Danio rerio: one gene and its partner. The protein of the gene in region 1 binds, or shares a complex with, the protein of each later gene. Links are inferred from orthologs where the notes say so. Each region holds a gene or a part of one and is shown on either strand. Other genes may lie near its edges.

Evidence for each region. The genes of interacting proteins can lie anywhere in the genome.
Region 2: the proteins of vdac2 (region 1) and tomm5 are in contact, whole or in part, in a cryo-EM structure (PDB 9EII), measured with the Homo sapiens proteins. The link is inferred for Danio rerio from reciprocal best matches to the Homo sapiens genes VDAC2 and TOMM5. Residues at the interface, in NP_001171752.1 of Homo sapiens: Val38, Thr60, Gly63, Asp239, Tyr258, Gln260, Thr261, Leu262, Leu268, Leu270, Val286, Leu288; in NP_001001790.1 of Homo sapiens: Ile25, Arg29, Leu32, Ile33, Ala36, Arg39, Val40, Phe43, Ile44, Lys47.

The regions. Positions count from the first base shown.
Region 1 is NC_133188.1:19,707,005-19,718,468, forward strand, and holds the start of vdac2 (voltage-dependent anion-selective channel protein 2), read right to left. Parts: upstream 7,910-11,464; 5' UTR 7,698-7,909; intron 1,858-7,697; 5' UTR 1,853-1,857; coding exon 1,786-1,852; intron 1,690-1,785; coding exon 1,640-1,689; intron 1,430-1,639; coding exon 1,277-1,429; intron 1,179-1,276; coding exon 1,126-1,178; intron 1-1,125. UniProt on the Homo sapiens protein: Non-selective voltage-gated ion channel that mediates the transport of anions and cations through the mitochondrion outer membrane and plasma membrane.
Region 2 is NC_133189.1:49,377,306-49,388,769, reverse strand, and holds tomm5 (mitochondrial import receptor subunit TOM5 homolog), read right to left. Parts: upstream 5,147-11,464; 5' UTR 5,033-5,146; coding exon 4,912-5,032; intron 2,159-4,911; coding exon 2,124-2,158; 3' UTR 1,745-2,123; downstream 1-1,744. Other genes in the region: si:dkey-109l4.3 (uncharacterized protein LOC559137), read left to right, coding at 5,570-5,747, 7,599-7,790, 7,912-7,994, 8,096-8,134.

The DNA of each region.
Region 1 (11,464 bases):
CTGTACACACTGGTCAAGTTACGGTCAAGTGATAGCATTTACATAAACAAAAATATCCGATTCATTTACAACATTTAACTGAAACATTTAATTTTCATAAGCTTTTTTTGTAGCTTAACCATAAAACAAACAAAACGTTAAGTTACTTTTAATCAGAAATGACAATATTGGTTAAATCTATATAAATAAATACATGTCATTCTCTCCTTTTAGTTGAGACGGTGGGCTAAATTAAAGATTACCATGGGCCACCTTTAGCCTGTGTGCCCTAGTGAGGGTTATTAAATGATAACAAAAAGTTCCTTTTTGGATGAACCATCACTTTAATGCTCAAGTTACAGTTAAATTTAAAGACTAGCAAAAACAAAACAGCAAACCATGGCTCATTTTGCAGAGTCTGCACTAATACAAGAGCACACAGCACTGCTGGTAAAATACACTACCAGTCAAAAGCCTGATGTCACTACGATTGTTTTTTCAAGACCTCTTAAGAACTTAAATCTACTAAAATGACAAACAAAGCCAGTAAAAAGAAATATTTCTGTCATAAACATCTCTAACTGACTTAATATTAAGCAAATAAAACTGTGAAAACTTTTTGCCACATGATCTACAGCCGCTGTCATGAGCCACACAGGCCTATACATCAGTAAAGGCCATGTCAACGTGACTGTCATCTGAGAGCACAAAGCCATACGATAGCAGACAGGTGCCACTTTCCTGACCGATTTACACCACCACTATCACTTGTGTGAAAGTAACCTTGAGGTGTTCATCCCTGCACAACAAAAGACAACTAACAGTCATCTAGCTTTGTCTGCAATCACACTCGGGTACCTATTTGGAACAAGTGATTGGACTATGTTTTAAAGTAATTAGGATCAGTGGTGTTGTTGCCAATCACTTCAGAATCTTAGTAGCAAGTAGTCATTTTACTTTTACCTCATTTTCACCTACTATATATCAGGGAAGAATGCTATTTCAGATGCAGCCATGGTGACACTCAAATTGCTCAATACAATATTGAGTTACATTCCACCACGTGTCAATATAGCGTTTCTCACCTCCTCTGAACCAACTACAAAACATATTAATGCTTAAAATAAATGTGAGAAATTAATATACCCTGTGTTTGGTGAGAAGGTTGTGTCAAAGGTCAGTTTCAGTCCCTTTGCGATCTAAAAAAAAGAGAGAAAGGGGATTATAAAGTGCTATTCATGCTAAAAATAACAGACTTCGATTGGTTACTATTCAGTGCTGGAAAAAGCATTCAGACCTGGTCTTCAATGTTGATCTCTGTGCCCAGGGTGTTGTCGGTATTCCACTTCTCTGTGAAGGTCAGGCCATATTCAGACCTCTTGTATTTGGTTTCCAGGCTCCCAACCACTTTGCTGGTGTCAGTGTTGGAGGAACCAGAGGTCTTGAATTCCTATACAGACAGGAAAGGAACATATTTTAAGTTGGTGTAAGGTGTCACGCTTAATGACTTGATAACTAATTATTAAATAATTAAACAGAGGTCTAGGGTTTTGCAATGTGATGACTAAATATAACTAATTTAATAACAATAATTAATGATTTGTTAGTATAAGTAGATTCACAATATTTGTATTAACTTATTAACAAAATTGAGTCTCACCACTCCACTGGCTGATTTTGTCTTGACATCGAGCTTCACCATACCGAATCCTTAAAAAAAAAAATGAAAGAAATGCTTTGAACAAATACAGAAAACTAAAAAACATTTTTTTCCCAAGAGACATCATGAATTATTAAATACTTTACCATATCCTTTGTTAAAGATGTCTTTGGCAGATTTGCCAAGATCAGCATATGCTGGGGGAACGGCCATTTTATCTAATTAAAACAGAGTGTGCAAAGATCATTAGTGGGTCGGAAGAACACCATAACACTAAACACCTGTGCAAAAACCAAAAAAACAGTGTAAAAAAAAAAAAAAAAAAAAACTGTACGAAAGTTATTTTTCTGAACCAAGCAACAGTGGGATGTTTTGGGTGGTCTACAGTATGTCTAGCTTTCCATGGTTTATCACCATGTCCTATCAGTATGATAAATGACCCAGCCTGAAAGCAGCTGCTGCACTCAAGCTAATCTGAACTGACAGCAGGCCGCACCTAACTGAGTCACAGAGCAAGGAAGTGACGTCCCGATTCACTCCCACAGACACACACATTTAGACGTGTGCAAGTAAGCAGAAGAAGCAGTTGTGTGAATAGCAATGAGTGATCGTGGTGGAGGCTCACTGAACAACTAACAAAATCTGTGCGCTCTGAATAATAGTTTACAAATGTAGTGTGGCCCTGCCTTAGAGACAGTACCACCAAAAAAATATCACATTTCTCTATTTATTTATCCTCAAGTTGTAATACATGCACCTTTTGTTTTGTTTTTTTATCTGCTACACACAAATGAAGATATTTGAAGAAAGCTGAAACATTTTAACCATTAACATACATAGTCTAAAAAATGAAATATTTTCCTTTGTGTTCAAAAGAACAAAGAAACTCAGGGTGCTTTCACACCTACACTTTTGTTTCAGAACGTATCTCGATTGCCCAGTTAGCGCGGTTCGATTGGCATATGTGAACAGGGCAATCGTGCTCTGTTCCGCGCCAAAGTAATCGATTGAAACGAACCCTGGAGCGGTTCGATTGCAGTGAGAAAGCGATCCGATCCGAGTGCGGTTATATCACACTGTTTTATGAATATGTAATAGGCTTACGGCTATATGAAGAGAGAATTATGAGTAGGGCGGGAAGTTTCGCGAGTCTCCGGATGCCCGCAAACGAGTGATGATCTCCCGGTAATCTCGCGTCTCCCTCCCGGTCCTAGGCATCGTCGCGCACCCTTCTCACCCCTCCCCACCGCGTCTCTCCTCAGACACGTCGCGCGCGCGCACCCTGTCAGTCACCATCAAACCACCACCTCTCCTGACAGCGGAGCGGGACGCTGCAAAATAAACCCTGACACTCTGACCAATGTGAGGTGAGTTTACTCGCACGTGACTTGTTTTAGCTCTTTTGGTCCGATTAGAAACTTTGCAATGTGAAAGCAAACCGCTCCAAGAGCAAAGAGCAACAATGTAACAATTGTAATCTCTGTTTCGGAACAACTGAATCGATTCACAGGTGTGAAAGCACCCTCAGACAGGTTTGAAGCAAGTGAAGGAGGGAGTAAATAATGACAGATCTTTCATTCTTTGGTGAACTATCCCTTTAAGTCAATGTAAGAGCTTCATATTTTCACTGCTTGACCACAGTGACTGTAAAGCAGGGGTGGGAAAACTGGGTCCTGGAGGGTCAGTGTCCTGCATAGTTTAGCTCCAACTCTAATCACAGACACCTGCTTATAGATTTCTAATTATCTTGAAGACACTGATTAGCATGTTCAGGTGCGTTTGATTAATGTTGTAGCTAAACTATGCAGGACACCGGCCCTCCAGGACTGAGTTTGCCCACTCCTGCTGTAAAGTGTCATGGTTGAGTTTAAATGTATGCAGACGGATCAATTTTAAAGACCACTCATAATGCAGCATGCAAATAAATTAGTAATCACCATTCAGCACTTAGAAGTAATTTATGAACACGTCACCTGCTGTTAAAATGAATTGAGAACATTTTACTTTTTTAAAAGGTTGATGGCAGTGGGCTTTGTGCATTCATACTGGTGTAGAAAATGCACACTAACATTGCCCAAAACTTCAATAAAACTGCTAATAAATTCAAAATGTAAAAATAAAAAGTAGGGACTATAAATGTAGTTGTTTTAAACATTTATAAATTTCATCTGTTGAACAAATTTATATTGTGAAGAAGTTGAAAACATGCAACCAATGACATTCATAGTAGGAAAATCAAATACCACAGACGTTAATGGGTACAGGTTTTTGCTCCCTTTCTAAATATCTTCCTTTGTGTTCTTATGTTTGGAAGAAGTGAAGGGAGAGTAAATGGAAGTTTTACTATTTGGATGAATTATCTCTTTAACGATTCACTCTTCCCTGCAGTGTTGCAAACCAGCAGTTGTACCAGTTTGTGTTCTTTTAGTGCTGTGATGGAAAGAAGATTTATACATCCCCAATTTTCACATGACAATACAGCAGATATCCACTTCACAGGGTTAACTGCATGACCTTAAGTTTCTGGTCTCCAGCAATCTTCTGCTTAATGTCATGATACACGGGGCGACTTTCAGAGCAATGTTGCTGGGCAACTTTGGCAAATGATGCCATCACTGGGCAACCAGGTGAGACACAGGGCAAGTAAATGGAGCAATTGGATCCCGATACATTCATTCTCTTTTCGGCTTAGTCCCTCTATTAATCCAGGGTCGCCAAAGCGGAATGAACCGCCAACTTATCCAGCACGTGTTTTACGCAGCGGGATGCCCTTCCAGCTGCAACTCATCACTGGGAAACACCCATACTCTTCCATTCACACAAACTGAAGACAATTTTAGCTTACCCAGTTCACTTATAGCGCATCCATACACACTCATTCACACTCGTACACTACGGACAATTTAGCTTACCCAATTCACCTCTACCGCATGTCTTTGGACTGTGAGGGAAACTGGAGCACCTGGAGGAAACCCAAGCAAACGCAGGGAGAACATGCAAACTCCACACAGAAACGCCAACTGACCCAGCAACCTTCTTGCTGTGAGTTGACAGCACTACCTACTGTGCCAGTGCTTCGCCTGGATCCAGATACAATATTACCCATTTTCAATAAGTAGCGAAGCAACATCACTCCTAAATATTGCTCAACAACATTTCTCAAAGTCCAAATTTAAAATGAGTTCTCTCAAGTTGTTCCAACCCTGTTTGTGCCATTTTATTTCTAATGATAAACCCCAAAAGAAAATATTTTGAAGAATGTTGATAAACAGACAGGTGGAAATAAAAAAAATAAAACAATAAAAAAGCGAGAGAGATTTTGAATAGATCACTTGTTATAAATTATGCATTTACTTTTTTTTTTTTTTATCTTAAGTAAATGTGAGATTTACATTTTTGGAACAGTAAGTGGGAAAGATGCCCTTGCTTCTCTATTAAAAATGATGAACAGTAATCTCAGCTAATGCTGTAAAATATATAAAGATGCCCTATCAATTGCATATTACTAACTTCTTAAGTAACAGACAACAACAGAGTACCAACTATTGAATTTATTATTAGATATAATGTATAAATAAAAAAGACATTTATTTAAACATTAATTTTAGATATCCCCAACTCAAAATCAAAGACAATAAAATAGACAATATTACAGAAATAAAGCAAAAACATTCATACCAATCATATGCTCATGAAGGAGTATTGGTGTGTTTGACCGAGTCATGCAAGTTAAGTTTTGTTTTACAAGATTAATATTAATACAGTTCATTTACTATGAGCACTCACTTAAACCTTTCCTAAATTTAATAATTAAAAATAAAGATTTTTTTTTTATTTTAGTTTTTAGTGGTTTTAGTAAGGAATTAATGCAAGTAGAGAATGGCTGTTTGTAAAGCTTACAGCGTCATCTGCTGTTAAACTAAGTGCAAAATTTATACAAAGGTGAAAACAATGATTTATAAAATCTTGAAATCAGTTTCTCACCATAGCTGATAGCTCTAATAAATATTGAGAGAAATACCCTTCTTAAGAGACTGTTTCTCTAGTGAACTCAGAGCTGTGGACACTAAATGCCAGAGAGAAATTTCATGTCTAATGACATATAGTTTACATAAGTATTGACTTCTTTCTTCCACTGAAATACTGAGCTATTACAAGAGATATAATTAAATGTTCATGATTATTTTAGAATTTGCAACATGAGTTTGTGTCCTTAAAGGACTTCAAGGATAAGGTCAGGGTCCCCAATCCAAGTCAAATCTCAAATACCTTCACTTTGCCCTGGATTTACTGACTAAAAAGGATACCAGTAAAGTTGGTTTAATATTCGCACATTTGTCTTTTAGAAGTCTCTATATTGTTTACCTTGTTACTTTGAATATTCGATCGTAATTAGCATGCAAGAATTACTTAAAAACAACATTAACACTATGTAATTGACTCAACAATGTTGTACTTTGATAGTCATTGGCTGCCTTTATGATTTTCCTATTTAGAATTTGCAATGAATACTTTTCTGAAATTAAGTTAAGGAGAATGTTTGAATATCCAAATATAAAACCAACTTTACCTCTAAAAAATGCAAACAAATCATTAAAATAATAATAATAAATAAAACATTAGACCTCGTAATATCCCATATTTCAGAAATTTCATGACTCATGGGAACCCTATAAGATTGTTGTGCTAACTGTATGGAGTCCATCTAATATCTAGTTAAAGTTCTCTTTACACATCAGACAAAATTGTCTATATTGGGGTACACAACATGTTTTGGCTAAAAATCAAAAAATGTGTATTAGTAAATACATGTAATTACACCTTTTAGTCTCATCTCCAGGCTGGTTTAATGCAATCAATTATAAAAGAAACATCTAGCAATAAATTTTGAAAGAAAATAACTACAATACAAACCCAGGAAGACTGTAAATAATACAGATACAACCAATATTAGAATATATAGGAATACGCTAACATTTATTTTTCAAACAGAGTAAATAACTGATTCTAAATATAGCAAAATGCTTCACCTGTGACCTTTATCATATAGGTCATTGAGATTGAGGTAAAGTTGGTTTTAGATTTACATGTACAGCTTCAGAAAAGTATTACTTGAAAATCCTAAATAGAGAAAGACATATTAGCAGCAAATTACTCTTAACATTGTTCACAGTGAATTAAATGATGCTAATGTTGTTTTTAAGTCTTACTTGCATGCGATTTTAGAATATTGAAAATAGCATGGTTAACAGGGACCGTGTAACAAGTTGTCAGTTCAATAATGTACGGATGTGCTAATATAAAACCAACTTTACCTCAATGTCATTGAGTAACAGGAATGTCTGGTCCCACAGATTTGTCAGGCGCATACCATCCATCAGATCTTTCTTTTCAGGAAGTACAAAAATAATTACTTAAATACTCCTTGGCGCTTTAAACATGTAATAAAAAATATTATACTATACTATTAATTTGGCATAAATGCCTATTAAAATTGTGTAGGATTATTACCCTCTAATAATAAACTGAATTAATAGATGAGTTCAGGAACTGCTCTATTATAAAGGGCAAAGTAAGGGCAAGGCGAACTGCGGATTTACTACCCAATTTAACGCAGCCGCAGGAAAGCTTCTGAAGGCCACATGCAAGACTGGACCAGAGGGATGTACAACACTAACTGTAATTAAATCAAACAAAAAGTGAAGAAAAGGAGCTGCAAAATATGATGAGAGTGACTCAGGTCACGCATTTTTGGTGCTGCTCGGATGCAAGAGAAGTCAGCAGGAGCCGCACTGATCTGAATTAAAGCTACACTATAGATTAGACTGTAAAGCTGCTGAGCTGTGCTAATGTCACGCTATGACCGATCACAGGCTCATCTGTTTCTCTCCGGTCGTTACAGTAAGACAGACCGTGTGTGTGAGAGAGAGAGATATCGAGCAAGCTCAGCTAACGCGTGCTAATGCGCTAGCTAACACGAAGTAGAAAGCTTGCGAATTAACGTCTCCGACGCTTTCAATTCAGCCACATATGATTCCCGCTCCTCTCGGCGACTTACCTGTTAAAAGGAGTGGAGTGCGGTTATTGAAACGCGGCTGCTGAAGTTATTCCCAGCGCTGAGCCAATGTGGAGGGTCTGGCCAGTTGGAGGGCGAACTGAAGGAGACTGTAATGTAACACACCCGTGCCGACAGCCTCCCGCTCAAGGACCCCGGGCTGTCCTCACCTCTGCCTGACGGTAATTGCTAACGGCCAGGAACAGATGTGTGGCTTGCGCGGTATTGCGACATGCTACTGTACGTCAATTTAAGTCGCCAATATACTGCATGTCCTGTGACTCAGTTATTTTTTAGACAAGGGCTATTACATTGAATTTACATCATATAGTGTAAAAGGTACGCCATTGAAACATTAGTAAAAAGACTGTTTACTGGCTCGGTTCTATTAAATTATTTTTACTCATTTATGATATTTACTAATACACTATTAATATGTACTTTAATGGTAACTGAGGTAGTTAACTAATGGAACAATAATGAAAAGTGTTACAGTTTTGACAAAGCTCATGACTCAAACATTTGTAAATTAGTTGGCGTAGTAGCAGTAGTTGCCTACTGTAATTGTTATATTGTAGTTCAATAAAAGATGTTATTTCATTAACATAAGCAAAATTAACTTTAATTTTTTATCTGTACTTTTTGTTTATTCAGTTTAAGTTTCAGTTTCACATTTAGCTTTGATTTCTGTACGTTGACTACATCATGGTGTAAAAGGTACACCATCCATTTTCAAGTTTAATGGCTCAGTTCTATTCAATTATATTTACTAACACATTACTCATAAGTACTTTAATGATCACTGAAGTAGTAAACAAATGGAAGATATTGTAAAGTGTATTAGTTTTGACAAAACCTAAGACTCATAAACACTTGTAAATTATTAAAAGTAGCAGCAGTAGTTACCTTCTGTAATTTTTATATTGCAGTTAAATAAAAAGATGTTATTTTGTTAACTTAATGCAAAATAGCTTTTTAATTTGTATATTTACTATTTATTTAATTAGTTTAAATTTTAGTTTCACTATTAGCTTTGATTTTTGTATGTTGTTTTTACATCATATGGTGTAAAAGGTACACCATCCATTGAAACACTCTTGAAAGGCTGTTTACTGGCTCAATTTCACTAATACACTATAATATGTTCACTAATACATTATTCAAATTTACTTGAATGGTAACTGAAGTAGTTAAAAGGTATGCCATTGAAACACTCTTGAAAGGCTGTTAACTGCCTCAGTTGTATTAAATTATATTTACTAATACATTATTCACATGTACTTGAATGATAACTAAAGTAGTTGACTACTGGAACAATATTGTAAAGTGATGTAGTTTTCGCAAAACTCATGACTCAAACATTTGTAAATTAGTAATAGTAGTAGCAGTAGTCACCTACTGTTTATTGTCTATTGCTATAGTGCAGTTAAATAAAAACAGGCCCGTAGCCAGGGGGTGATGGGGTTCGGAAGACCCACCCCTCACTGACAAAGGTCCAGAATTTGTCCCACATGAGCTCATTTGTCCTCATGTGGGAGTTTGACTACTATGTTATCATAAATATTGAAATATCCCATAGAAAAAGGCATTGAGACCAAGCAGAATCCTCTGTTGGCTGTCTAATCCAAGTGGTGCTCGCTGCAGAGCCATTTGAGGAGAGGTGAGCTCCAGAGAGGGGGAGCTTAAGCTTGAGCTCCACCTTTTTTGCACTTCTTCTACGAGTGATGTCACTGGGGGTAGGGTTAGGGGTGGGGTTGGTGTACGCATTAAAACAGCTTACAGGAGGAGGAGCGACAGCTCATGCTCCCCCTCTCTGGAGCTCACCTCTCCTCAAATGGCTCTGCAGCGAGCACCCTCTCGTCTAATCAGCTAAGCTTTGGCCAATGCAAACAATTATTTTTCATGAGTCCAACATCCTATGCCAGAAAACACACAATCTGATGTAAGTGAAGTCATCTTTCGCTATGTATTGCTTAGAAATGGAGAAAAAATTTAGGACCTTATTCTTGAAACAAAATGACTGATAAAAAGGTGTGAAGCACCAAAAGCGGCCCAAATTAAAATGAATATGAATACTAATTTGGCTCTTGTTATCCATGAATTTTCAAATGTAGGCCTACAACAGAGGCAAAAATAGTGAAGCTCTACATTATTATTATTCGTTCATTCAATCATTTTCTTTTTGGCTTAGTCCCTTTATTAATCTGGGGTCACCACAGCAGAATGAACCGCCAACTTATCCAGCATATATGTTTTACGCAACGGATGCCCTTCCAGCTGCAACTCATCACTGGGAAACACCCATACTCTTCCATTCACACAAACTGAAGACAATTTTAGCTTACCCAGTTCACTTATAGCGCATCTTTAGTCTTTAAACTTGTGGGGTAAACCGGAGCACCCGGAAGAAACCTGCGCGAACATGCAAACTCCACACAGATATGCCATGTGACCCAGCCGAGGCTCGAACCAGCGACCTTTTTGTTGTGAGGCGAGAGCGCTACTCACTGCACCACCGTGTTGCCATATTATTAATATTATCATTATTATTATCATCATCATCATTATTATTATTGTTTACATTTTTTTTTTCAAATGGCCAAATTGTGACTGAGGAAAGTTGAATGTGCTGGCTAGTTTGTTATTTGCCTAATAAATGAGCTACAGTTTTTAATTAAAAACTTTAACAGATTTTTGTTTTATAATAAAATAATAAAATTGTATTTTAAAAATAAGTATTTATTCATATTTCTTTATTCTAAATCTTTAGGAAAAAATGTTGGCGTATCAAAAAGTGTGGTGCAAATCCAGCTGAAAATAGTGCTTAAAATGTCACTAAAATGCAGTTATAAAATGCTCAGCATATATAGGTATCACAGATCTTTCTTTTAAATTCATTATTTGTAATGGCATTTGGCCACTAGGTGTCAGTACGCTACTTTATAACTGCGACTGCACTGCATTGAGCAAGAGGTTGGTAGGATGCGCACAGTTTTTGATCGTAACTAATCGTAACGTGCTACACAAGAAGCGTGCAATTGCAACGCCGCTACAAAACGTGAAAAACTGCACTTCGTGGGACGATTGAGACATTGTTGGAGTGGACAGCAAGGCATGGTGTTTGGGCGGACAATGACGACGAAGTTCGTTTGGTTCAAGACTCGTTGGTGCATGTGAGAACAGCTTTTCATCAGCACCTAAATGAGTTTGCTTGGATCGGCTTTCTTCTCTTTGGGTCTGATAAACAGCCAGGTACGTTTGTTGCAGCATCATCATCATAATGGCCATATGGAAATTATGTGTGCACATTTAGGCATGGGACGATAACCGTTTTCAAGGTATACCACGGTTTTGAATAGTAAAGGTATTAAAATCGCCAAAAATGTTCTTACGTTACTACCATTCCTAAGGTGTGTAACATTTTTTTTATTTACATTTTTTTTTTTTAGAAAAATAGTAACGCTATCTCCAGCCGAATATTTTGAAACAAATAAAGACAAAAGTCAATGATTCATTAGAATTATTTAGCCTGACATGTTTACTGCTCCAAAAATATTTAAAATGTTTCTCAAAATAAAATATATTGTGTTCAGAAGGGGAATAACGTTAGAATTCGTTTTTTACTCAGACACTAAGACGAACATATTTTAGAGCAGCACAATACTGTAAAACCGTTATTTTTTTTTTTCCTCAAGATTTCATACTGTCAGAATCAAATGAACAGCTAAAGCTTTAGTTGTAAAACTTGACACTTTACAGAAGTTAAGAAA
Region 2 (11,464 bases), on another chromosome or scaffold:
AATTTTCTAACCAGTTGCATTTTATGCTGTGAATTTACCCCTGTAGGGCATACTGCAGTCCTTTTTTGTCTGGCTTTCTCGGATATCTCACCTGTTCGCCAAAATGACTAATTAGGTCCCTGGGAACATATACCGGCGTTTACATATTATAATAGATGGCCAGGCACGAAAGCTTGACAGGCATAACAACAGTAAAGCTATGGTCACAGTAGAGTTTGTGTGTGCGAAATTCTGTCGTGCGGTGCTGCGAAAAGGGGCGGGAATAAACAAGATTATTAAGCATTAAAAAAAGCGAGCGATTGCTCTATAATTTAAATTTCTGTCCAGAGAGGCAATGTTTTGATCCTCGGTTGGTCTCACGCAGTCAAATGATGCGATTTCGCAGGTCAGAATTCACCAAGCTTGAACTTTGCACCGCAGCAACCTGCGAAACTCGACGCATGACCCTGCGTTTCCAGAATTGCAGGGTCGCAGGGTCATGCGTCAAGTTTCGAGCTTGGTGAACTCTGACCTGCGAAATCCCATCATTTGATTGCGTGAGACCAATCGAGGATCAAAACATGAACTCTCTGGACAGAAATTTAAATTATAGAGCAATCGCTCACTTTTTTAATGCCTAATAATCTTGTCTAATCCTGCCCCTTTTCGCAGCGCCGCACGACAATATCGGACACACAAACTCGTGTGACCGTAGCTTCACTCAGTGGAAAGGGTCATAAGGATAACGGGGCTTAGCGAAGGGTCAATTTCAGTATCGTGACAACCCTAGACTGCATAAATACATTTACTGTGGTCTGAGAGCTGAGCTGCTTATTTTTATTTTCTCAAACATATCAAGGTAAGTGCACAAAAGTCTCTCTCAAACGCATTATTCTCCATATAACCATATCATTTTACACCAGAAACAAAGCTATTTTTTTTGCACTGCAACTGATGATCAACAGTAAAAATGTAAAATTGTACCTCTTCCCAACAGGGAAAACCAGCAACAATCAAGAATGCATGATTATATGGTGTCATGACTTTGTAATAATAAAAAAACTTTAAATGGAAGACAATGGGGCAAAAACAGCCACGAACATAACGAAAGGGTAGTACATTTCCCAGTGTTTCAGAGTTTCAATTTTCAAAGCATTTTCCCAAAATATGTCTCATAATGAGAGTAGTCACCAAAAAAAACTCCATTTGCTGAAACACAGAGAAAGCTGTGGCCCAATTAAGACGCAAAATCATCCCAGAGTGGACGAAAACATCCCCAACAGCACACAAGGGTTATATCTCACTTCTACATTGTAAATGCACCTCAGAGAAGCGATCTGTCTTCAGTCTTTACCATTGAAAACCTTGATGTTATTTTGTCTTGCAGTGGTTCTTCCTCACATCGGCAGTGCCACTTACTCTACCCGCGGTGTTATGAGTGAACTGACGGCAAACAACTTACTGGCAGGCCTGACGGGCTCTGAAATGCCCAGCGAGCTGAAAATGTAGCAATCTAACTCGTGCCTTACACTGACAGAAAACCAGTCTAACCTAACAACTGAATGCACTACATTTACCATGAGATTAGATGGGATAAAACATGTATTAGATTAGGTTTATTGGATAACCTCATTCCAACACAATGATTTAATACACTCATTTGCTCTAACTGTGAAATTCGAGATTCATTCAACACTCAACTGTCCTTATACACTCCATGATGCTGATTAAAGATGCTGAAGAATGAATGATACAGAACAATAAAGGATTTACTGAAAAGTCTGTATTTGGTAGTTGAGTCATGAATACAATGAAAACAAAGAAAGGTACAATTTCTGCAGTGCATTAACAGAGTGTATAGTATCCTCGAGACACATGATTTTGGAAATACTACTGTCAATATAAATGGCTGAAAGGATTTATTGCTTGGGTCACTGTGAACTTAAAATTCTTGTAGACATCACCTGTTTTTAATGGAGTTTGGATGAGGACAAATCACCCAGGGAAATAAAAAAATTTAATTAGCGACTACACAAATTGACCACATCTCTTTGTGGACTGCCGATGTAATCGATTCTGTGCAGCATCGTCCCAGTCCCGCATGCTCTTCTGTACAGGGAATGTTTTCGCCCATGGGTGAAGCTTCATATGCTGTCCAGCTTCTTCAAAACATAGGGTGCTGAAATAAAAGGAATTTATTTAGTAATTAAAAGCAAGTGGGCTTCAAAAATGTGTCATGAATGATATTTAAAGCTGGTACAAAAAATATGAATACATGTATGTTAATATGCTATTACAACAAGATTAATACCTCAAGGTAAAGGTGATTTTATATTCGCACATTCCTTCATTTGTGAACAGTGACAATTTCTCACTGTTCTTTTAAATATTGGGTCTGAAATAGATTTTTAAAACAACATAAGAATTATCTAATTGACTGAGTAATGCTATGCATTTGAACATAAAACCGATGTTCACCTCTTTCATTTAATTTTGAGTGTATTAGGGCCTACTCACACTATGCCATCCGTACCGTGCCCAGGCCCGTTTCCCGGATCGTTTGAGAAGTGTGAGTGCGCTGAATCGAGCTCAAGCACGGTTCACTTGGCCGGCCCTGGCCCGGTTGGAAGAGGTGTGCCTGAGCGCGGTTCACTTGGGCTTTTGCGCGGTACACTTGTGGTGTGAGTGCAAAGCCCGAAACTGAAAGCGAGACGTGACTTTTAAGGGGCTGTTTCATATGGGTTTATTAATCATTCTTACTGTTCAGTGAACGCAAACTGCCGTAGTTTATGAAATACGCAAACCCCTCACTGCATGACAGCTGCGCACCTTCAGCAGACCTCCTCATTCCTGCAGCACGAGGGCTTTATGATTGTTTATGAGTGCTAAAAGTGGTGGATCTGTTCGGCGAAATATCTGACTGCGTGTCACCACATCCCTAAGGACTGTTCGGCTAAATATTTGACTGCATGTCACTGCATAACAAACGACTGAAACGATATAACTAGAGAAATCTCCACTGTGCTGCTGAGTGAGAGAGCGCTTCTCACTGAACAGCGCAGCAGGGATGACGCAAGCGTGCCGAGGCCCGATTGTGGTGTGAGTGCGGGCTGTCGAGGGAGACGGGAGGGGGGACAAGCGTGCTTTGGCCCAGTTCGAGACAACTGTACATAGTGTGAGTACGGCCTTAATCAACCATGTTACACCTGTGGTGTTTCCGGTCAAAAGTGACTGCCATAGGAAATGAATGGGTATCCAGACTATTTATCCATCAGAAAGAAAACATCTCCATAAACATTATTCCAAGTCACTGACTGACACATTTCAGACCGAATGCCTTTTGCAGATAAGCATCTCTATTCTGTGTCGATCCTCCAGCCTGGTCTCATAAGGAAATGTAACTATTTTACATTTGTCAGTTTAGTGTCCAATTCGTACATACAGCAGCTGATAGGTCCACTGTATAGTAATGAAGAGGAAAGATGTAAGCCTTATGTCACAACTTACGCAACACAAGTACTTATTAATCAAAAACTTCTAATGCAGTTTTTACAATGAGAATTGAAAAGTTCAATAGAAAAAAATATTTCTGATAAATTCTGCTAAAAAAAAACTAACACCATTTTAAAATATTAAGAGGTTGAATAATCATTGTACAGAGATAAGGGCATCTTACTGGCCACATTTTCTAACAAACATTGTGTACTTTACCATGTCAGTTTAATGGTGAAGGGATTGATCCAATAGGTCTATTAATGGAAGATTTGTATAAAAAAAAAAAAATTTTAATGCTTTTTTTTTTAAAAAATACAAAATACTGTATTTTATTTTGATACACGTTATGACTGCTTTATTCTGTAGCTTATTTTCATCCACATATTTAGGTATTCTATTTTAAAATATATTTCTTTATTTCTTTCTCTTGAAAGAAAGAAAGAAAGAAAGAATCTTGTGTCTTTTTACTTTCTTTCAGCCAATCTCTTGGTCAAGTAGGAGCACTTTTACCTTAGCGTCAATTATTTTATTGGATTAGATCATAACCATCTCGCTCAAAAATGACCAAAGTATAACTTACTGTATATACCCTCATTCACTATTCCCTACATTAGTACACTAATGTAATCCAACTGAAGGACTGAATGAAAATTCCAGCACTCTGCACACAGGAAAGGATATTGTTTTGTTTGTACTTTGCCGGTTGATAAATCATTCAGATGGATTAAAGAGTCAATTTTTTTGGTCAGACCCTGTGATAGTGATTTTAGCGAGCTGTCTATTGGTAATGAAACAAAGTTTTTCGATTTCGGTCATCTATTGTTCATTTTGTAATACATATTTAGTGCCTACTTGTATTTACCACAGTTATTGTATGTCTATTGTATGTCTATATAAATTCATGTTAAACACTACTTTAAGACATTGTTCATAGCTAAAGAATCTTGAGTAAAAATTAAGAAGGTTAAGAAAGTCAAAATGTGCTAATGTAAAACCATATTTATCTTAATGTGTCATTCAACGATTTAAAAGGTGTGGCACACTTGCATATTTAATCAAAATGAGGTAAACAGTAAAAATATGCTAATTATACAATACCATTCAAATCTTTGACATTTTAATTCTTTCATTAACGAGAAGTGATACATCACGGCTACTAAAATATGTCTGTTCTTGAAAAGAAATGTTCTTTAGGCTCAAATATACGTAATAACTATACAGATTTTGAATTCATTATGAGTGCTAGAGGTGACCTCTGTCATTCATCATCTACATATAGACCAAATTCATCCATTTATGTTGAAAAGACATATTACTCATGATTTAACGCGGTCCCAAGACAAACTCTATGAATATAAATGACAATCAAAATTTAAAGACGACACACGTGACATTTAATCTAACCCAAGACATGCATGAAGCGTCTGGAATACTCACTGACTCGCAGAAGCGCAACGTAAATCAAAAAGTTGCGAACAGACGTAATGACATCTTCACGCATTTTCTTCTTCATCTCCTCCGGGTCCATTTTCGGCCCGAGTCCCTCTAGTTTAAACATTTTTCAGCTTGAATGAAGGGTTTTTTGTGGTTGAAATGATCTCTTCAAGCCACTCTCTGTCCTAAAGGCATGCGAAAAGGGAAATACGTCACATCGGAGCTGCCTCTAGGACCCCCGCTTTTTCCCTACTAAGTTGTGCCTGATATTAAATCGGGTATTCTTACGATCAGTTTGTTATTAACAACAACGCATTATTTTCATAATAACATATTATAACATGGCAATGCGTTAAATATAAACTTCTTTCACACATTGTATGAAAATTGTTAATAATAGTGTTATTTTAATCAGGCAATATCAAAAAGAGCACATCTAGTCACGGCTCATTGTTTTGGTTTTGTTGCGCGCTTGTTGTGAATCTCTTGTCGCTGTGTAACAAGACAGCAAAACTGAAGACTTTATAACGCGCTGGTTTTATTTCCTTAAGACATATTTTATCACAGATATTGTGGCATCCATTTTTAAATGTTCAAATATCGTTGTAGCTGCACGTAATATACATTTGATTTACACACAAGTCCATTGAGTACTGAATGAATGATGGACCCCAGTGGACTTATGTCCAGTAACGCTTGTCTGAAATGGGTTCATGGATTCAGTGAAACGTCGCCGACGTGTTTACCCAGTAAACGTAAACGAAATGATGCCAGTACACTAAATGGCAATGAAGGAGACGCTGCTAATGGTTTTCCCTCCAAAGAAAACTTGAGGAAACGTAGGTATTGCTCTCTCAGCTGAGCTTTTGAACGGGTCATTACTTTTAGATGTTTTTTTTTTAGTTTGGTTTTGAGTTTAAGCTTTATATTTAAATATTTAACCAGTAAAGACATACTAACATCTATATCTAGCCATACTCCGAAGCTAAAATCTTTAACATAAACACTAATATTAATCATTTCTTTGGCTTGTAATTGTGAAGAATTTGCAAAGCATATAGTCAGGGCTGCACATCTGACATTTTGATACTTTGTTTTGCTGCAATATACCTTGGCGATATGCATATAAATTCACCAGATGATTTGAATAGGTCTATTTAAAAATATTTATTTTTCTATGCAGTGGATCTGCATAAAATATTATAAATTAAAAGAAAAAATAAACAGTGCTTTATGGTTTTCAGGGCTATCTAATAATCAAACGTAAAATAACATGTTCATCATTGAATAAATAACTTTAAAAATAACAACATTGAAGCACTCTTGCCTCACAGCAAAAAGGTTGCTGGGTCAGTTGGCATTTCTGTGTAGAGTTTGCATGTTCTCCCCCTGTTGGCGTGGGTTTCCTCTGGGTGCTCCGGTTTCCCCCACAAGTCCAAATACATGTGGTGCAGGTCTATGTGTGTGAATGAGAGTGTATGGATGTTTCCCAGTGAAGGGTTGCAGCTGAAAGAGCATTCCGCTGCGTTAAACATATGCTGGATAAGTCGGTGGTTCATTCTGCTGTGGCGTCCCAGATTAATAAAGGGACTTAGCTGAAAAGAAAATGAATGAATGAATAATAATATTTAATAGTAGTATATTCTATTGCAGATCTACACATTGAGATATCGATGTTCAAACATTAAATTGTTTAGCCTTACATATAGGCCTATATGTTTGTTTATAAACAGATTCAGTTGAAGGCAAAATTATTACCAGCCCTCCTATGAAAAATTAATTAATTTTCAAATATTTACCGAGTGCTGTTTTACGTAAAGATTTTTTTCAATGTATTTTTAAAAACTAATTTTTTAAAACGAATTCCTTTGGTCTTTGTCATGATAACAGTACAGCATATTGCACCATTTTGTTTAATATCCTACTTGTATTCGGTGCAAAGTGCAATTTTTATGGCTTAACTAAGTTATTGGCAAGTCATTGGTCAACGCACGTCAAGATTTTGCCAAGTACAATGCAATCCTGGATTAACATCTTGATCCTGGAACATAATTATTGTTTGAAAATGTAATATATACCTATTCCCTACACCCCAAAACCCAACCAATACTGTAAATTATTCCCAAAATCAGAGGGAATAGTTGGATAACAATCATTTAAAAATGCATAAACCAAACCATAAGCTTAAACTTAGCATAAACTGTAAACATATCTCTTAATTCTGATTAGAAATGTTGTTCCAGGATCAACAAAGAGCAGGGGTGGCCAACCCTGTTCCTGCAGTCACCTTCCTGCAGATTTCAGTTGCTACCCATATCAAATACACCTGAACCAATTAATTAGGACATGAAATCTGCAGGAAGGTGGCTCTCCAGGAACGGGGTTGGCCACCCCTGACATAGATGATAATCCAGAAACACGTCCTACTTGATGAAATCCAGTTGGCGTTGGTCAACAGTGGGTTGTTCTGTAGCCATCGGAAAAGAAAATCCTTTAAGGGGGCTAATGATATTGACCTCAGCAGTTTTACATTATTTCAATATTTATTTTTTTCTAGCCATCTAAAAGAAATAAGTCTCCAGATGTAAAATATAATAGGAAAATACTATACAAATGATTGCTCCGTTAAAAATTCACCAGTTAAATAATTGAAAAAGAGTTAAAATTGCTATTATTTCTCTCACCTTTAGGTGGTTTTGTCTTGATTGATGGCCAGAGAGGTGTGTATCAGTCGGAGAGCTGGCAGCCCAACGGCAGCACTCTATACCTGCCTGTGAATGGCACTTTATTGGCCAACATCGAAAAATATGATCAGATCAGCTTCGAGCAGGGCTGCTTCTGCATCGGCAATGCAGCAGGCGGATTTCAACAGAAAGTCCAGGGTAAGCCCCTTATTAGTTTATTTCCATAACATGAGTGATATATTTTCATAAGTAGTAGCTCTAGTGGGTGAATTTTCCACTAATATGTATACACGCTCTTTTTTGTTGTTGTTGTTTTTAGGTCAAACCATCCACTGCTGGCGATATAGTGAGCGTGAGCGAAAGCTTTTCATTGCACTGTCGTACCTGTTTACAAACTTAGAAGTGAGTTCATTGTTAAATACTACAGTAAATATTTCCTCCATTTTAGTGTGATTTGTGCCTTCATAACAATAAACTGTCTTTTATTCCCCATGTTTTTGTAGGTGTTTCAGGAAGTTGTCAGCACTCTTGATTGTCTCTGACGATACAGAGTTGCCTAAAAAGCTCAAACCTATCTTGTTGCTGTTTAGTACAGCCTGTATATTGAATACTGTATTACATATCATGACATACAGTATGTGCCTTTTCAACACATCAGTGCTGTTACAGACTGACATGTTCTGTGGACAATGAAAGATATCTGCCATGATATTATAAAGTGTAGTTAGTTAATCCACAGTGTTATATTTCTTTAATGAGGCTACTGATTTGTTTTGCCTCTCAGCCTCAGTTATCCAACACTGAATCAAAACATAACATTAAAAAACTGTATTCTACTTATAAAATGTAAAGCTTGTTGCTGATTTTATATGACATATTTGTACTGTATATCATTTACAATAAGGTTTCATTGGCTTAAAGGATAGTTCACCGTATTAATAAAATTTAATTAGCCGTTACATACACAATGTAGGTGACGTTTTCTTCAGTATTAAAGATATTTGTAGCTGAATCTGTGGTCAACATATGCAAGTCAGCAGCTAACACTTTGAGAGGCAAAACAGTATAGAGGCAAAACAAAACCTGACAGTAGCCCCTTTCACACAGTGATACCGGTAAATATCCGGAAAATTTCCGGAACGACTTTACCGGTATATTCAAAAAAGCGCTGTTCACACAGGCGAGGACGTTACGGAAATTTTCCGGAAAAGAGCATTCACACATCCATTCCAAAATACCGGTAAATTCTGACATCATTCACCACAAATGAGCTTTAAACGGCTGCGCTTGTATTTGTAAACATTTGACTAAATTACAAACTCTGTGGATGATCAATATTGTAAACAACTTTCACTGGATCATATTCGCATGTCGAGATGTTCATAATATGTGCGTGTGCTGACGCTCACAGGCTGTTTCATGGGCACACGCAAAGCTTGAAGGTAAACAAACAACGGCTTATCATAAGCATCTTATCGATGATTATTTGCACAGTTGGCATTAAGAAGAACATATAAACGTTATCTGACTAACTTCTAGCAGCTAAATGTGTCTGGAAAAATATTCAAAGGCTTTTATTCTCACAAACCGCGCGGACGTAAATGCGTCTGACTGTTGTGATTGGCTAAAGCAGACGTCTCACGTCAGCACGTTCTAGACATGCACGAGCTTATTCCGGAAATCTTCCTTCTGCGTTCACACAGCGCAGCATTCCGGCAAATTGCCGGTAATGTTACAACTTCTCTTTCCGGAAAATAGCCAGAACGAATTTACCGGTATTTTCAAAAAGGACCTGTTCACACATACAACCTTTCCGGAAAATTGCCGGTAATTTTCCGGAAAGGTCTGTATGTGTGAAAGGGGCTATTGTTTCAATTATTTACCACAGTGTAATCTCAGTGTATCATCAGGAGCCACGCACACACACAAACTCACTTTCAAATGTTTGGGTGAACTAACCCTTACACATCAGTTAATTAGTTAACTAATGATAAACAATCCACATTCAGCATTAATTAATATTGGATAATATACATTTTTAAATGTGATCATCTGCATAACTAAGAAATCTTGAAATAAATGCACACAGCAAACAGTTTGTTAATAAACTAAAATAATGCCTTGTTCAGTTATTGATTAATTGAATGAAACCTTATTGTAAAGTTTACCAGTGTTTGTAATGCTAAATTGCTAGTCTTGTATGTTACTGCTTCATACTTGTTTTATATATTTCTTTTTTAAATACATTTTTTTTACATTAAAAAGGACAATTTCAGCCTTTTACTTTTGTGCAGTGAGCTTTATTTATTTTTCTAACAGGGTGTCCGCGTAAAATTTTGAGAAAACTTTGAGACAATTAAGGCCCTTAAAGGTATAAAAGTCTTAATTGCGTTTTTACGAGGTTTTCAAGTGTTGTCCAAAGTTTTTGACTTCAAAAAAGCATAAATATATTTATTATCTTCCTAATATTACAATGGTGTGCTCGTTCCAAGCGATTGCTTCTGGCCAGGCGGGTCCGGCCAAGCTCCTCCATCCGGGTGATGTTACGTCATTTGTGACAAACGCAGAAAAAAGATGTGAAGCTCTCCACATGTTGCGTAACCATATCAAAACAGACGGCAAAATGGGAAAATGTAAGTTTGCATACTCCTGGTTGAAGAAAGACGAGTTTGAACAGTGGCTGAAGCCTGTCGCTGAAAACAACCTTGTGATTTACTCTTTCAAGCTTTGTATCTCCTGCGCTTCTGTTGCATGGTTGTGCTCCATTAATTTATTTAACTAAAGCTGTTTATTAACAATTGTTTATTAAATTAAAGGTTTGATCCTGATTAGTACTTGAAGTGGCGATGAGGTCTTAAAATATTCTGAGAAAGTCTTTAAAAGGTATTGAAATTATCATTAGGATTCCTGCATATACTAAACTCAACGTTTCTTCAAGTAAATGAAGAAAGTGACGAAAATTGGAAATATCTTGCACATATGGTATATCTTGCACCAACCATTGCACATATGTCTTGAAAAATGCTATTTGAAATACAGAAATACATTGCCATTTAGCATATTATATTTCAAAATGAATTTTGCTACTTATATGCTTCCACAACCAAAGTCCAAAGAGACTACCAAAGACTCTTTAAAGCAAGTCATTTCACTCGGCGGACATCTTTAAAAACACCTCTCGGGCAGTATGCTCGGGCATTCTGTTTAAATGGGGAAACATCAAATTCTCCAAATCTACTTGCGCTTTCGATTCCATTTTATATTACGAATAACAATTAAACAACAACCGTCTCTTTAGTTTCATTTCTAAATGTTCGTTTCTGGACTGATGATTCTCCTGGGGTGTGGCTCGGACCAGAAGTGAGTTTCTGCAGTTTTTATGTGATTCAAAGGTTTAGAAATGAAACTAAAGAGACTGTTGTTGTTTAGTTTTACTGGTGATTCCTAATGCGAAATTTAATCGTAGGCTTGGCAAACAGTTTTGGAGAATTTAATGTTTCCCCATTCAAACAGAATGCCCGAAAGGAGTTTCAAAGATGGCTGCCGAGGGAAAAGACTTGCCTTAAAGGGACTTTGATATTGTTAGACTCCCAAGAAAACTCAAATAGAGTTATTCCAAATCATCTTATCGAATATTAATAAAAAAAATTGCACACTCCATTTTTTCCAATATCGTACACTCCTCCATACATTCGTTTCATACACAGCTTTCCATTGATCATTCATTACAGAGATCCTGTATGAGTCAGAATTAAGACTGGTTTATTTTTTTCTCCATGAGTTTTTATGAATGTAATACGTAAGACAGATTTTAACCTATTATTCCTTTTCAAACATCAGGCTTCACTTCTCATAATGCCATTTAAAACTGT